2 linked regions of the Struthio camelus genome follow. The protein of the gene in region 1 purifies or fractionates together with the protein of each later gene. This does not show direct contact. Links are inferred from orthologs where the notes say so. Each region holds a gene or a part of one and is shown in the gene's direction. Other genes may lie near its edges.

What was found. The genes of interacting proteins can lie anywhere in the genome.
Region 2: the proteins of EEF1A2 (region 1) and VARS1 purify together in Homo sapiens (co-immunoprecipitation; 3 studies listed by BioGRID and IntAct, counting the BioPlex papers as one, with this or other methods). This does not show direct contact. The link is inferred for Struthio camelus from reciprocal best matches to the Homo sapiens genes EEF1A2 and VARS1.

Annotation. Positions count from the first base shown.
Region 1 is NC_090959.1:17,050,807-17,058,646, reverse strand, and holds the start of EEF1A2 (elongation factor 1-alpha 2), read left to right. Parts: upstream 1-4,836; 5' UTR 4,837-7,840. UniProt on the Homo sapiens protein: Translation elongation factor that catalyzes the GTP-dependent binding of aminoacyl-tRNA (aa-tRNA) to the A-site of ribosomes during the elongation phase of protein synthesis.
Region 2 is NW_027182645.1:8,807-16,592, forward strand, and holds the start of VARS1 (valine--tRNA ligase), read left to right. Parts: upstream 1-4,777; 5' UTR 4,778-4,921; intron 4,922-5,885; 5' UTR 5,886-6,021; intron 6,022-6,096; 5' UTR 6,097-6,197; coding exon 6,198-6,242; intron 6,243-6,536; coding exon 6,537-6,630; intron 6,631-6,765; coding exon 6,766-6,866; intron 6,867-7,473; coding exon 7,474-7,601; intron 7,602-7,786. Other genes in the region: U6 snRNA-associated Sm-like protein LSm2, read left to right, coding at 676-678, 839-906, 1,819-1,849, 2,034-2,093, 2,490-2,615. UniProt on the Homo sapiens protein: Catalyzes the attachment of valine to tRNA(Val).

The DNA of each region.
Region 1 (7,840 bases):
ACTTGCGCTGCATCAACAACCCAGAGCCATGAAGTCGCCAGAGGACGTTGCATAAGCGGAGGAGCGCGTTGCCCGGGTGGGTGGGCAGGTCTCCACCGGCGCCCGCGGGAGGGGGGGCTCCGCGCACGGCAGCCCCCAGGCAGCGGCAACTCCCCACCTCTCTGCTGGCATTAATGGGGGGGGGGGGCGCGATGGGCACAAGGGGTGAAACACTGCTTATTGCACGCAGCAATATTCGGGTGCCGGCTGCCTCCGAGCAGAAGCGATCGAGTCGGGCACGCTGCGCAATCCAGCAGGTAGAGATAGGGCTGTGCATGGGAGCGCGGGGTGCTGGCGTGCCCCAGCCTGCAGCGCCGGCGCGGGTGCTTGCTTTCGGCGTTCCTGGGGACAGGCGAAGCGAGCAGCCCCTCCGGCAGCCAAACGCACGCGGCCGCCAAGGCGAGCGACAGTGCGACGACGCTCACGAGACCGCCGGCACGCGCCCCAAAACCGCCTGCCTGGGCTACCGCGTTTTGGGCCGCCTGCAAACGGCCCCAGCCGCCGCCCTCGCGATGCTCGGGGCACGTCGCCTCCCTGCTGCGGTCGCTTTCGCACCAGCGGCCGCGGGCTGGGCGAAGCGGGGATGAGCCAGCGGCCCTGCCACCTCCGCAAAGCGCCAGTTCAAGCCTTCCCACACTCCAGATGAGGCTTTCCTCTAAGGATGACCCACTCTGGGGGCTTCCTGCTGCTCAATGCTTCCACACACTTGTGTCCCCACGGGCTGGCACGTGGTCCCCGGGCTGCAAGCACACCAGCAGCCTTGGCCTTAATCGAGGTGGGAAACTGAGGCACGGGCAGTCAAGCCCAGCGCACAGGCGAAACCCCACCATCGCCAGGCGCCCCGAGTTGCCCAAACCGTGGCGGGACATGAGCCCCCAGCTCGGTGTGCCCCGAAGGGCGCTGGGCCCGGAGCCAAACCCCCACCGGGAGGGGCAGAGGCAGTGGGTGCTCTCGCTCCCCGGACCGTGCACGGCGCTGCCTGCTTTGCAGGGGCGAGATGGGCAGCGCCGGACACCCTGAGCAGCCCCCAGCACCGCATGCAGCGCCGGGCACCCCCAGCGACGCCGAGCACAGCATGCAGCACCGAGCACCCCCAGCACAGTGCGCAGCGCCCAGAACCCCCCAGCAACGCCCCGACCCCCCCGCGCACCTGGGTAGGGGGCGAGGCGAGGTGACAGCGAGGCGACGGCGCTAGGGCCGCGGGGCCCTCGGCGGCGGCGCCGCCGCCGCCCGGGGAGCGCTGGCGTGCGCGTCCGCTCCGCACGGACCCCGACGCAGCGCTGCCGGCCCCGCCCCAGCCGCGCTCTTTATATCCCCTCTGGCCCCGCCCACGCGACGCATCTCCGCCAATGGGACTCCGGGTCGCGAAGCACCGCCCCTTCCCTGGGAGGGGCGGGATGGCGGGGCTCCGCCCCCTCTCCCCCCACCCGCGCGGGGTCTGTGCGCAGCGCCGAGCACCCGGCGGGCGGGCGGCCGCAAGGGGCGGCTTTAATGCAAAAAAAACCCGAGCAAATTAAAAACTGCCTCGAACCGAGGTTCATTAAAGATGCTCTCTCTGGAAATCTGCTCTCGCTGCATGTGCCCCCCTCCCTCCCCAATGCGCGGTTTGCTGGGGTTGCTCTTGTCCTAGCCAAAACAGGAGGAAGCAAAACAAAAACATATATACATATATGTATGCACGTAAATCTATATATACACACACATATACAAAAAAAGAAAACCTTAAGTTAAAATTTAGCATTGGAAGTTAAATGTTAAAATGCAGCCTACAAATACTGCCAGCCCTAGAAAGTTGAAGAATTTAAATGTGTGATGATGCCGTTTCAGTACTTTGTTAATATTTAGCGAAAATATAGTGCCAACAACAAACAAGCTATCTAATGACCATCTTATGTAACGCGGCATTAAGAGAGAGCCAAGACAGCCTTTCTCACGAAATGCTTGCTCTGCAGAACCAAGGGGAAAAAAAGACAAAAAAAAAAAAACCCTAGCACAGTTCAATATTTGAAATTTCGTGGGAGAAAAAGATTTTAAAAATTTCAAGCAAAATATACCGGACTCAACCACATTTCAAATTAATCAAAAAAATAAATAAATAAAGCTTGAAGGGATACTGAACTGCGTCGGTTGTATTAGTTTCATATAAGAAAGGCTTGTTTGAGAAGAAGCAGCCTGCAACAAGGCCTAGGCACCTCCAGCGCTGAAGCACCGCTCCTCGACGCTTGGACACCAGTACAGTACGCTATATAAATAAAAACATACTGCTAAATAAAATATCGCTAAAATGCTGGAAGCATCGGTCCCAGCTCCAAACTTCAGACCCCAGAGGGCCTCGGCGCTCGGGTCTCGAGAAATTTATCTGACCTAGAATGAAAAAAATAGCCTAAAATTTGGGTGCTTCGGAGCAGCCAGGGAGGAATCACAGTGCTGACGGCAAGAATCCAGTTTGAGTTCCTGGGACGAAGCCTGCGCCGGGCACGTTCAGGAGACGAAGATACATTTCATTTGTAACCGGTCGAGAATCAATCGTTTTAAAAGCGGACGGATGACAAGATTTGGACGGATTTTCGCTGCGCTTTTCCTCTAATGAGAGCCTCCGAGTTTACTGCCGCTCTCTTTACAGCTGGCTTCTGAGCACCGTTTCGGTGTTTTTTTCTCTCCTTTAAGACCCCAACGGGAAGGATGTTAGGAGCCCCTTAGAGCCTCCGGTTGGGGATTCACGGCGGGAGGGAAGTATCTCGGCTCTCAGCGGGAAGAAAAATAGCTTTTCTGTCTGAACTAAGTGACTTGAAAAGAGGAGTCAAGGGTTCCCGCAGAGCATCCTGAGGACGAAGCCCCGCGTCCTTGCCGCGTGCCGCGGCCCGCTGCGCGGCGCGCACCCCGCTACACAGCAGCCTCCCCTTGCCTTCCGCGAGGCTAAAGGAAAGTTTTCAACTCCTTCGCTTGCACATGGCATCACTTAAACCCCGCTGTTACACGGGCTGCGCTCTCCGGAGGGGACCCCACGGGCGGACGCCGCCGCCGTCGGCCCAGCGCTCCCGCCTCGCTGCATCGCCGCCTCCAGCCTGCTGCAAAATCAGCTCCATCTCCCCCCCCCCCCAAAAAAAAAAAACCAGAAACAGCCGGTATAAACCTCCCACGGGGCTGCCCGGAGGTGGCATCGCCCAGGAGCCGGGTCACCATGCAGCGCGGGCAGCTGCTGCCACCTATGGATATAAATTAGCCTCGATGTTCAGCCCGGGTGCTCGGCTGAATGGGAAACGGGAGGGTGGGCACCGGCGGGAGCCTCCTGGCCGCGCAGGGCCACGCTCCCCTCCGGCGCCTGGCGGGCGCCCAGCGTGTCCGGCCGCGGGCCGAGCGCGGGCCAGGGTCCCCCTTGCACCACGCACGTCTCCCGAGTGCAGCCCGTAGCGAGTCCCAGGCTGCTTCGTTCGCTTGCGCCAAAAACTTAAGCCTCCGATCCGGGGCAAGCGGTGAGGAGACACGGAGCATCCAAGGCGGCGTAACGGAGGGTCAGCCACGCGAGCGCGACTCGGCGTCGCTCGTCCGACCAGGGCGTCTGTTTAACCCCCTTCGAAAAAGCCGTGAGATGTCTGGCTAGCAGCTACTACTTGCTGCGATAAAGCAGGCGCTAGAGAAATTTTGGTTACACAAGCAAGTTCCCACCTGCTGACCCCTCCGCTCCTTTGGCCAAGCCTTGGGGTCGAAGGACGGTGCGCAGAAGGGGACGGTTCAACGTGTGTGTCTAATCAGTAAAGCAATGTGCTAATCCGGGCAAATCTGGGAATTGCCTTGCAGAAACCAGCGGAGGAGCTGCTCAGCATTTATCTTTCCACAGAAAACTGTTAGGCCGGTGCCTCCTTTCTAGGATGAGCGCGTGCGATTTTGCTACCAATCCGTGATACAAAGCACGCAAACAAATCGATGGCTAATGTAATTCCGCAGGTTTCGATGCGGGTCAGCGCAGCAGTGAGTCTGCTCATTACTGTCTCCCTCTGGATGCGCCTGAAGCTTGTGCTGTTGGCCAGATGCTTCCATTAGCAGCCCTTCATCTACGGTGATGAGAAGATGCGGGCAGTGGGGCTCTCTCAGCTCAGTGGCCGCGGTTTAATAAGAAAAGCTGTCCCCTTGCATTGCTTTTCTTGCCTCGCGGACGTGAAGGGCTCTCCAAACGAGCGCAGCGACGGGCGGCAGCTTGATACAGCCCCGGACTCCCTCGCTGTACAAACAGTGCAGTCCGGTGCTGTGCAGCATGCCGAAAATGGCACTGAACCACAGGGCAGAGGCGTCTTATCTCCCTGCTGCTTGCCCTGCCTGGGGAACGAAGCGGCGCCCCGGGATGGGATCTCTCCCCGTCTCGGCGCGCGCTGAGATTTACAGGATCAGCTCCTCCGGCCGCTGCAGGTGTGACGTCCACCGCTCGCCCAGGCGCCGAAACTGCTGGGGCGTCCCGAAAGCAACGCATTCGAGACTACCGTATCAAGAGGCAAGTTTTCGCAGAGGACAAGTGCCTGTCTTGGCTGCTCCTCGGAGCGACAGCGGGTCAGACGGAGCAGCTGGATTGTATTCTGTGCAGCCTCTTTTGCGGCAACCGCGTCTCAAGGGAGCGCGAAGAAGCAGAGCGGCAACATTATAATAGCAAAGGGGAAGGTGAAGAGCGGAGAAGGAGTTAAAGTCGTCAGAGGAAATAGGCGTTTGGATGACGAGCTGCTTCGGCGCTGGATGTGGGGAAATGCTCCTAGGGGCAGGACTTTAGACCTCCGCTGATTTTGTAATCTGGTGCTGGCTGGTTTGCACGGCTCGGGGTCGGCGTTTCAGGCAGAGCAGGGTCTGCGCGAGCCGGCCTGGGCTCCGGCGCTGCTTTCGGGGTGGTTTTTACCTTTGAGACCACTCTTTCCAACTTGGCTGAATTTTGGCCAAGAGCCTCCTGCAAGCGATTTGCTGGGGACACGGCCACGCTATGCCCGGCCGTTATTAAAACGCTGCTCAAGTGACACCTTGCTCTGGTGCGCTCCCACGCCGGGAGCTCCGGGGCCGGGAGCCTTCCCGCGGCGGCGGTTAACCTAAGCCAGCCCTGCCTCGAGGCGATACTGTCCCACGAGAGCGCACGCCGCACCGGGGGCCCGGCACTGGGACCCCCCCATCATCCCGGATGAGCTAGGGAAGCCGGAGCCGAAGGCCTCGTTGTCTGGAGGTATTTTTAGGCTGCTTCATCCTGGAGAGCCGGATTCAGTTGCTAAGCAGACGCCGTTCCCAACCCTCCTCCAGCCCCTCAGCATCCCCGCTCGCTAGCGCAGGATTGGGCCCATCGGGCTGCTGTGTGCTGCCCTCACCCCGGCTGGCACCAAACCTTCGCTCGCCGAGCTACAAGGATGCCGGAGGGGGCACGTCTTTGCCCTATCTCAGCCTTGTAATTTCCCATCCGCTGGAGCGATTCGCCCGTCCCGGCACCTCTGCCCGTCCCGGTCCGGCGCGGTGACGCTGCGCCCAGGAGGACGGCAGGCACAGCAGCTTGCGGGAGCCCTCCGAGAACAGGGGCGACAGCGATCGCCGTCCCCAGCCGGCTGGGCTGCTGGAGGGCTTGGCCGTCTCGGCATCACCTCCAAAGTTTATTTTTAAACCTCTGGCTGTGGTTTAGCGGGATCAGCAGCGTGTGCTGCTGCAGCGCCTTGGGCCGTTCCCCGCTGCCGCCCCGCTCCTTCGCCGCCGCTGCCTGCCCAACGCTGCTGCCCTCGCCCGGAGCTGCCAGGCCTGACCCGCTCCCCGAAAGCCTTCTGCTCTCCGGCACCTCGGCCTGAGGAGCAGTAAGTCTGGCCCACGTCCGAGCCGCCCTGAATAGCAGCGTAAACATGCACCAAAATCCGCCAGGCATCACACCCGCGAATCCATCCCCTCAGAGCTGGTACCTTACTCCAAGGCCAATCCCTTTCCCTCGGCACCGGCCACGGCGCTGGGAATCGCCACGTGGCAGAGCCGTGGGCGGCTGGTTTCGTGGGGCTTTGAGCTCGCTTGGTTTGGGCACACAGTAACCTACAGCTGCTGCAACGGCGGGGTGCAAAGGCAGGGCTGGCGTGGAGGGAGCCGAAACCCCCATCATGCAAAGACGGAAACCTTACAGTCTTCATCCCTTCCCTTCCCTCCCCAAGCTCCTCTGCTGGCTGGTCCGATGCCTGTTGCTTATGGGGATGCAGAAAACAGCATGAGGCCCCACGTTTCTTCTTTTCAAGGCAAGTATCTCTCTTGCTTTGAAAGGCAAGGAGGAGGAAAATAGCAGCTTTTGCCCTCGGGAGATGCTCAAAGAGGTCATCCGTTGTGGCCATGCAGTCTGAGTCTCTGGTCCAGGCCTCGAGACAGTTCGCTGGCATTTCTCCATCGCGCCTCCAGCGTCCCCGTCGGCGAGAGCGGGGCTTCTGGAGGCTGTCGGGTCGGGCATCCCCTGTGGCTAACGCCTGCGTTGCTAAAAAACCCCGCCTTCAAACTGAGACGCGATGCATTTTGCAGAGTCAAAAATGCAACAGCTCGGCGAGCTGAACGCATTACTCATGGGAATAAACACCCCCGGCGAGAAGGCAAATTCAGACAGGCAGCTTGCGATGTTTACAGCCCAGTTACATACAAATTAAGACGCTGCGGATTACTCGTTCTCCCATGCAAACTGCAGGGGGCCTTCCGGGGGAAAAAAAAACCCCAAAAACCTCATTCATTATGCCTGGGCAAATGTGAATTTTAGCAGAGCTTAAAGCATCAGTCCCAAAGGTGGGGGCTGCGGAGTCGGCGGGAGCCGGTGCCGCTGCCCTGGGCATGGCGCGGGCGCTGCGTGGGCATCAGCCCTTGCCCGCAGCACGCAGGCAGCGGTGCCCTTCAGAGAGGAGTCTCTGTCTTCTCGAATGATCCCAAATCATTCGGTGATGGCTTTTTGCTAGGCTAAAAGAAGGGTGGGGGTACCAGAGACTGAAGAGGACGCATGGGAACGGCTTCACCCGCCACCGGGAGCCGTTCCCGAGCCAGATGGATGCAGACAAGGCGCTAAACTTCCAGCCGCCCCCAGATTTTGGCTGTCCGGGTTTATTTTTTTTTGTGCATAGCTGAGGGTTTAAAGACAGATTAGTAATATTTTTCAGATGCTTGGTCAAGCATTGGGGGGAAGTGGTTCCCCTCTGGCGTGGAAACCATGCCAAGTGCTTGATGATCCAAAAGGATCGAATGTGTTCGACCTGAAACCCTTTGCCCCGGAGCCGGAAGGCGCGCGAGACGCCGGCGGACCTCAGCAGACGGCTATCACTTTAAGTCTCGCAGAGGCTGGGCATCGCGTGGCTCAACCTAGCCCGGATTAGCCAGGTCTGACGGCGCTCTATCCTTTCCGTGCCCTGGACTATTTATAGTCTGATGGGCTGTCAGGCTCTGTTTCATTGTAGAAATAAAATGCACGCTACGGGTAGACTCTGGCCCGGTTTCCGTACGTGCCAGCAAGGCAGACTGGGCGCCACGGTGCACAACCTGCTTGTCCAAAGCAGACATGAAACTGCAAACATGTCTGTACGGGAAGGATGATCCACCTGCGCTCCCGAGCGGCGCTCGGACAGCGGCCAGGTTCTCAGGGGCGTCTGAGTTGGGCGGCGTTTGGCTGGCCTTAGGCTCCCCAGTGCTCTCATGAATTTGTCCTGCGTGGTTACCTGCCATGCTATTTTTAATGTTTGCTAGATGCACTCTTCATTTCTCTTTCTTCTGTCTGGGGAAAAGGGTAAAAATTCAAACCAGCTATTTTTACTGGAGAAAAAAAGGATACAAAAGAGGCCCATTA
Region 2 (7,786 bases), on another chromosome or scaffold:
TCCCCGTGACCCCCATGTCCCCGTGACCCCCATGTCCCCGTGACCCCCGTGTCCCCACCCCACGTCCCCCAGGTCCCCGTGTCCCCCGTGTCCCCGTGACCCCCGTGTCCCCACCCCACGTCCCCTGTGTCCCGCGTGTCCCCCTCCCGCGCCCGGTCGCTCGCGGCGGCCCCGCCCGGGCGGCGATGGGCGGGGGCGGGGGCGCGGCCGGACGCCGGGGCCCCTCCGACGCCTGGGCCCGCGGGCGGCGGCCTGGCCGGGTGCCGCGGGCGCCCCCGGGGGCGGGGCCAGACCAGCGATTCCGTTCGGGGGCGGGGCCAGGGCGGCGGGTCCGCCCCCGGGGGCGGGGCCAGACCAGCGATTCCGTTCGGGGGCGGGGCCAGGCCGGCGGGTCCGCCCCCGGGGCGGGGCCAGGGCGGCGATTCCGTTCGGGGGCGGGGCCAGGGCGGCGGGCTCCGCCCCTGGGGGCGGGGCCAGACCAGCGATTCCGTTCGGGGGCGGGGCCAGGCCGGCGGGTCCGCCCCCGGGGCGGGGCCAGACCAGCGATTCCGTTCGGGGGCGGGGCCAGGACGGCGGGTCCGCCCCCGGGGGCGGGGCCAGGGCGGCTGCTCCGCGCGCGGCGGAAGGGGGCGGGGCCTCGCCGGTTCCCTGGCGCGTGGGGCAGCGGCGGCCGCGATGGTCGGCGGGGCCGGGGGGCTCGTGGGGGGGCCCGGGGGGCTCGAGGGGGGGCCGGGAGCGCCGGGGGGGCCCGGGGGGGCGGGGCGGAGCGGGCCGCGGGGCCGGGGGCGGCGGCGGGCAGCAGCGGCCCCGCGCGACCCCCGTGTCCGTGTCCCCGCAGCTTTTCTACTCCTTCTTCAAGTCCCTCGTGGGCAAAGACGTCGTGGTGGAGCTCAAGAACGACCTCAGGTGAGGACCCCCCCCCACGGGGCCCAGGCGTCCGGCCTCCCACCCCCACGGGGACCCCGGCGTCCGGGACCCCCGCCACGGGGCCCAGGCGTCCGGGACCCACCCCCACGGGGGCCCAGGCGTCCGGCCTCCCACCCCCACGGGGACTCCGGCGTCCGGGACCCCCCCCACGGGGCCCAGGCGTCCGGGACCCACCCCCACGGGGGCTCCGGCGTCCGGCCTCCCACCCCCACGGGGACTCCGGCGTCCGGGACCCCCCCCACGGGGCACAGGCGTCCGGGACCCACCCCCACGGGGGTCCAGGCGTCCGGCCTCCCACCCCCACGGGGACTCCGGCGTCCGGGACCCCCCCCACGGGGCCCAGGCGTCCGGGAACCCCCCCACGGGGTCCAGACGTCCGGCCTCCCCCCCCCACGGGGACCCCGGCGTCCGGGACCCCCGCCACGGGGCCCAGGCGTCCGGCCTCCCCCCCCCACGGGGCCCAGGCGTCCGGCCTCCCCCCCCCACGGGGACCCCGGCGTCCGGGACCCCCGCCACGGGGCCCAGGCGTCCGGGACCCACCCCCACGGGGGCCCAGGCGTCCGGCCTCCCACCCCCACGGGGACTCCGGCATCCGGCCTCCCACCCCCACGGGGACTCCGGCGTCCGGGACCCCCCCCACGGGGCCCAGGCGTCTGGGAACCCCCCCACGGGGTCCAGACGTCCGGGAACCCCCCCCCACGGGGCCCAGGCGTCCGGCCTCCCACCCCTACAGGGCCCAGGCGTCCAGCCTCCCCCCCCCACGGGGACTCGGGCGTCCGGGACCCCCCCCACGGGGCCCAGGCGTCCGGGACCCCCCCCCCACGGGGCCCAGGCGTCCGGGACCCCCCCCCCACGGGGCCCAGGCGTCCGGGTAACTCTCTCTCCCCCCAGCATCTGCGGGACGCTGCACTCCGTGGACCAGGTGAGTGGGGCCAGGGGCCACGGGGGGGGAAGGGGGCTGCGGGGGTCCCGGGGGGGGGCTGGATCCCTCGGTGGGACGGGACCGGGGGGGCAGGTTGGGCCCACGGGGGTCTGTGGGGTGGAGGGGATCGTCGGGGGCAGGACCCTCGGGGTTCCCAGGCCGTGACCCCCCCGCGTCCCCGCAGTACCTGAACATCAAACTGACGGACATCAGCGTCACCGACCCCGAGAAGTACCCGCACATGGTAAGGCCCGGACGCCTGGGTCCCCCGGACGCCTGGGTCCCCCCCGGGCCCCAGACCCTCCGATGCCGGGGTCCCCCGGACGCCTGGGTCCCCCCCGGGCCGGCCGCGGTGCCCCAGGCCCTCCGATGCCGGGGTCCCCCGGACGCCTGGGTCCCCCCCGGGCCCCAGGCCCTCCGATGCCGGGGTCCCCCGGACGCCTGGGTCCCCCCCGGGCCGGCCGCGGTGCCCCAGGCCCTCCGATGCCGGGGTCTCCCGGACACCTGGGTCCCCCGGACACCTGGGCCCAACCACCCTGGACGCCTGGGTCCCCCCCGGGCCGGCCGCGGTGCCCCAGGCCCTCCGATGCCGGGGTCCCCCGGGGCCCCGCTGACGCCCGGACGCCTGGGTCCCCCGCAGCTGTCGGTGAAGAACTGCTTCATCCGGGGCTCGGTCGTGCGCTACGTGCAGCTCCCGGCCGACGAGGTCGACACGCAGCTGCTCCAGGACGCCGCCCGCAAGGAGGCCCTGCAGCAGAAGCAGTGAGCCCGGACGCCGGGGCCCCCCGGACGCCGGGGCCCCGTCACCCCCTCCCCGGCCCGGATGCCGGGGCCCCCACTCCGCTGCCCCCCGTTTCTCTACCTCACCCCGACGCCCTCCCCGAGACCCCCCTGCTCGCCCGGACGCCGGGGTTCACCGCTGCGCCCCAGCCCCGCGGGGGCCGGGGGGGTGAGCCCCGGCGTCCGGGCGGCGGCGGGGCGCAATAAACGCTGGTGACGGGCACCCGGACCTGGCTGTGTCGTGGCTGCGTCCCCGGACGCCGGGGTCCCTCGGGGGGGGGTTGGGGGGTCCCGGATGCCGGGGTCCCTGGTGGGAGGTTGGGGGGTCCCGGATGCCGGGGTCCCGGGTGGGGAGTTGGGGGGCCCTGGACTCCTGGGTGGGGGGAGGGTAACGTTCCCCGGACGCCTGGGTCCCTGGAAGGCGTTGGGGGGGGGGTCTCGGACGCCTGGGTCCCGGGTGGGGGGGGATTGGGGGTCCCCGGAGGACCCGGCTGTTCGCCCGCCGCCAGGGGTCGCCGGACGCGCTCCGTAACCCGCGGTGGCCGCTCTGCCCCGCCGAGCCGCACGGCTCTATGATCCGGGAGCCCGCCCCGCCCCCCTCCTCCCCCCCCCCCCCCGCACACACAGCGCTGACTGAGCCTGCGCAGCGGCAGCAGCCAATCCGGGAGCAGCCCGGGGCGCGGGGCGGGACGGGCGCATGCGCGGGGCGGGGGCAGGCGCTGGCGGCGCATGCGCGGTGCGCGCGGCTCCACGCGGTTCCCCACGCACCGGCAGCAGGTACCGACGGCGGCTCCGGGACCGCGCCGGCCCCGCCCCCTCCGCGCCCGCCGGCCCCGCCCCCTCCGGCCCCGCCCCCTCCGGCCCCGCCGCCGCCGCCGCCGCCGTCGCTCCGGCCCCGCCGCCGCTCCGGTTCCCGGTGCCGCCGGTGCCGCCTCCGCTGCCGCCTCCGCTGCCGCCCCCGGTGCCCCCGGTGCCCCCGGTGCCCCCCGCCCGCCGGCCCGGCGCGCGGCCATGGCGGCGCCGCGGCTCTTCCTGCGGCCGCCGCCCGAGGACGCGGCGGCGCAGCGGGTGCTGATCGCCGCCCGGTACGGCGGGGCGGCGGCGGCGCTGGAGCTGGAGCGGGTGGCGGCGGCGCCGGGCGCGGGCCCCGGGGCGCTGCCGGCGCTGCGGACGCCGGCGGGGCGGCTGCTGGCCGGGCCGGGCGCCGCCGCGCTCTTCCTCAGCCCGCCCGCGCTGCTGGGCCGCGGCGCCGCCGCCGCCGCCCTCGTGCGCCAGTGGGTGGCGTTCGCCGAGGCCGAGCTGCTGCCCGCCGCCGCCGTGGCCGCCCGCCGCCCGGGCGGGGAGGTGCGGGGCACCGGGGGCACCGGGGGCACCGGGGGGACCGGGGATGGGGGGGACTGGGGGGACTAGGGATGGGGGGACCGGGGGGACCGAGGGGACCGGGGATGGGGACACGGGGGGACCGGGGGGACCGGGGGGACCGGGGATGGGGACACGGGGGGACTGGGGATGGGGGGGACCGGGGGGACTGGGGGGACCAGGGATGGGGACCGGGGGGACTGGGGGGACCGGGGATGGGGACACGGGGGGACCGGGGGGACCGGGGATGGGGACACGGGGGGACTGGGGATGGGGACACGGGGGGACTGGGGATGGGGGGGACCGGGGGGACTGGGGGGACCAGGGATGGGGACACGGGGGGACCGGGGGGACTGGGGATGGGGGGGACAATGGGCACCGGGGGGGCACCCAGGCACCGGGTGGACCGAGCATGGGGGGGACCGAGGGGACGGAACATGGGGACACGGGGGGACCGGGGGGGACCGAACATGGGGGGGACAGTGGGCACCGGGGCACCGGGGGGACCGAGCATGGGGGGGACACGGGGCACCGGGGGGACCGAGCATGGGGGGGGACCGGGGGGGATGGGGGGCACTGAGGGGACCGAACATGGGGGGGACACGGGGGGCCAGCGGTGGGGGAGGAGACAGGGGACCGGGGGGACCGGGGATGGGGGGTCCGGGGGGACGACCAGAGACACGGGCTGGGGGGCTGGGGGGGGGCCGGGCAGGAGCCGGGACAGGACCCGGGGCCGGGGGGCCCCCGGGCGGAGCCTGGACCCACCCGGACGCCTGGGCCCGGCGGCAGACGGAGGAGCGGGCGCGGGCGGCGCTGCGGCGGGCGCTGGCGGCCCTGGACTCCCACCTGCGGCCGCGGACCTTCCTGGTGGGCGAGAGCGTGACGCTGGCCGACGTCACCGTCACCTGCGCCCTGCTGCTGCCCTTCCAGCGCGTGAGCTGCCAGTCCGCCCGGCCCCCGTCCTCCCCGCGTGCCCCCCGCGTCCCCCAGCGTGACCCCTGTGTCCCCACGCACCTCTGCCGGTCCCCGCGTGCCCCAGCACGGCTCTGCCTCACCGTCTCGCGTGCGCAGCCGTGTTCCCGCGGGCCACCGCGCCGGTCGGGTCCCCGTCCGGGTGTCCCCGTGCCGGTCGGGTCCCCGCGTCAGTCGGGTCCCCGTCCGGGTGTCCCCGTGCCGGTCGGGTCCCCACGCCGGTCGGGTCCCCGTCCGGGTGTCCCCGTGCCGGTCGGGTCCCCGCGTCAGTCGGGTCCCCGTCCGGGTGTCCCCGCGTCAGTCAGGTCCCCGCGTCGGTCGGGTCCCCGCGCCGGTCGGGTCCCTGTCTGGGTGTCCCCGTGCCGGTCGGGTCCCCGCGTCAGTCGGGTCCCCGTCCGGGTGTCCCCGTGCCGGTCGGGTCCCCGCGTCAGTCGGGTCCCTGTCCGGGTGTCCCCGCGTCAGTCAGGTCCCTGCGCCAGTCGGGTCCCTGTCTGGGTGTCCCCGCGCCGGTCGGGTCCCCGTCCGGGTCCCTGCGTTAGTGGATGTCCCCGCGCCGGTCGGATCCCCATCCGGGTGTCCCCGCGTTGGTGGGTGTCCCCGCGCCGGTCAGGTCCCCGTGTTGGTGGGTGTCCCCGTGCCGGTCGGGTCCCCGCGCCGGTTGGGTCCCTGTCCAGGTGTCCCCGTGTTGGTGGGTGTCCCCGTGCCGTTCGGGTCCCCGCGCCGGTCGGGTCCCTGTCTGGGTGTCCCCGTGTTGGTGGGTGTCCCCGCGCCGGTCGGGTCCCCGCGTTGGTGGGTGTCCCCGCGCCGGTCGGGTCCCTGTCTGGGTGTCCCCGTGTTGGTGGGTGTCCCCGCGCCGGTCGGGTCCCCGTCCGGGTGTCCCCGCGCCCGCGTGCCGGGGCCGACGGGCGTCCGTGTCGCCGCGCAGGTGCTGGGCCCGGCCGCCCGGGCCCCGTTCCCCCACGTGCTGCGCTGGTTCCTCACCTGCGTCCACCAGCCCCACTTCCAGGCGGTGCTGGGCCCCGTGGCGCTGTGCGGGGAGGGGGCCGCCGGCGCCCCCCTGGGTGAGTGGGGCTGGGCCGGGGGCTGCGGGGGGCCGGGGGAGCCGGGGCGCCGAGCCTGACCCTGCTGCCCCCCAGAGGAGCCTGAGGCCGTGGGGCCGGGCGCCGTGGGGCCGGGCGCCGCCCCCCCGGCCAAGAGCGCGTCGCAGCTGAAGAAGGAGGCGAAGAAGAGGGAGAAGATGGAGAAATTCCAGCAGAAGAAAGAGAAGAGCCAGCAGCAGGAGGTGGGCGCGGGCCCCACGGCGGAGCGGGGACGGGCCCCACGGCGGAGCGGGGACGGGCACCATGGTGGGACGGGGCCGGGGACGGGCCCCACGGCGGGACGGGCCCCACGGCGGAGCGGGGACGGGCACCATGGTGGGACGGGGACGGGCCCCACGGCGGAGTGGGCCCTATGGCAGAACGGGGACGGGCCCCATGGTGGGATAGGACCCGCGGCAGGTCGGGGCTGTGCCCCATGGCGGGGCCCAGGGCCGGCCCCATGGCGGGGGGGCGTCACCTGCGTGCCGGTCCCACAGAAGGCAGCAAAGGGGGAGAAGAAGGAGAAGAAGGAGCGGAAGGAGCTCGGGGTCGTCACCTACGACCGGGAGACGCCGCCGGGGGAGAAGAAGGGTGAGAGGGGCCGGGCTGGGGTGCGGGGGGGCAAATGTGGGGGGCGGAGGGGTGGGGGAAACGGGGCCGGGGGGGGAAGCGGGGCGGGGGGGACGTGTCGCGACGTGGCGCCCCGGCGCTGACGGGGCGGCGCAGACGTGAGCGGCCCCATGCCCGAGTCGTACAGCCCGCGGTACGTGGAGGCGGCCTGGTACCCGTGGTGGGAGCGCCAGGGCTTCTTCAAGCCCGAGTACGGGGTGAGTCGTGCGAACGTGCCCCGGGCGAGCGTGCGTCCTTACGTGAGGCCCCCGTTTCGGCATCCCCGCGTAATGCCCAGGGCGACGCGGCGGCCCTGTGCGAGGCCCTCGTGCGTGGCTCGTGCGCAGCCGTGCCCCCGTGCGGTTGCCCTGTCTGAAGCCCTCGTGCCCGGCGGAGCCCCGCGCACGCCCCTCGTGCGAGGCCCCGTGCCCGGCGGAGCCCTCGTGCGCGGGCGTGCCCCGTGCCCGGCGGAGCCCTCGTGCGCAGCCGTGCCCCGTGCCCGGCGGAGCCCTTGTGCGTGGCAGTGCCCCGTGCGAGGCCCCGTGCTCGGCCGGCGGAGCCCTCGTGCGTGGCAGTGCCCCGTGCGAGGCCCCGTGCGAGGCCCCGTGCGAGGCCCCGTGCCCGGCGGAGCCCTCGTGCACGGCCGTGCCCCGTGCGAGGCCCCGTGCGAGGCCCCGTGCGAGGCCCCGTGCCCGGCGGAGCCCTCGTGCGCGGCCGTGCCCCGTGCGAGGCCCCGTGCGAGGCCCCGTGCCCGGCGGAGCCCTCGTGCGCGGCCGTGCCCCGTGCGAGGCCCCGTGCGAGGCCCCGTGCCGTGCCGCCCCGCAGCGCGCCAGCCTGGCGCAGCCCAACCCGCGCGGCCTCTTCATGATGTGCCTCCCGCCGCCCAACGTCACCGGCTCGCTGCACCTCGGCCACGCGCTCACCGGCGCCATCCAGGACGCCCTGACCCGCTGGTGAGACCCGCGGCGCCCCCGGGCCCCCAGGGGTCTTGTGGGGCCCTTCCTGTACCCCCCCCCGGTCCCCCCAGGCCCCCTGCCCAATGGACTCCTGGGACCCCCTGAGCCCCCTCCCCCTGGAGCCCCTGGGCCCCCCTGGCCCCACAGCCCCTCTGGGCCCCCAGGGGTCTTGTGGGGCCCTT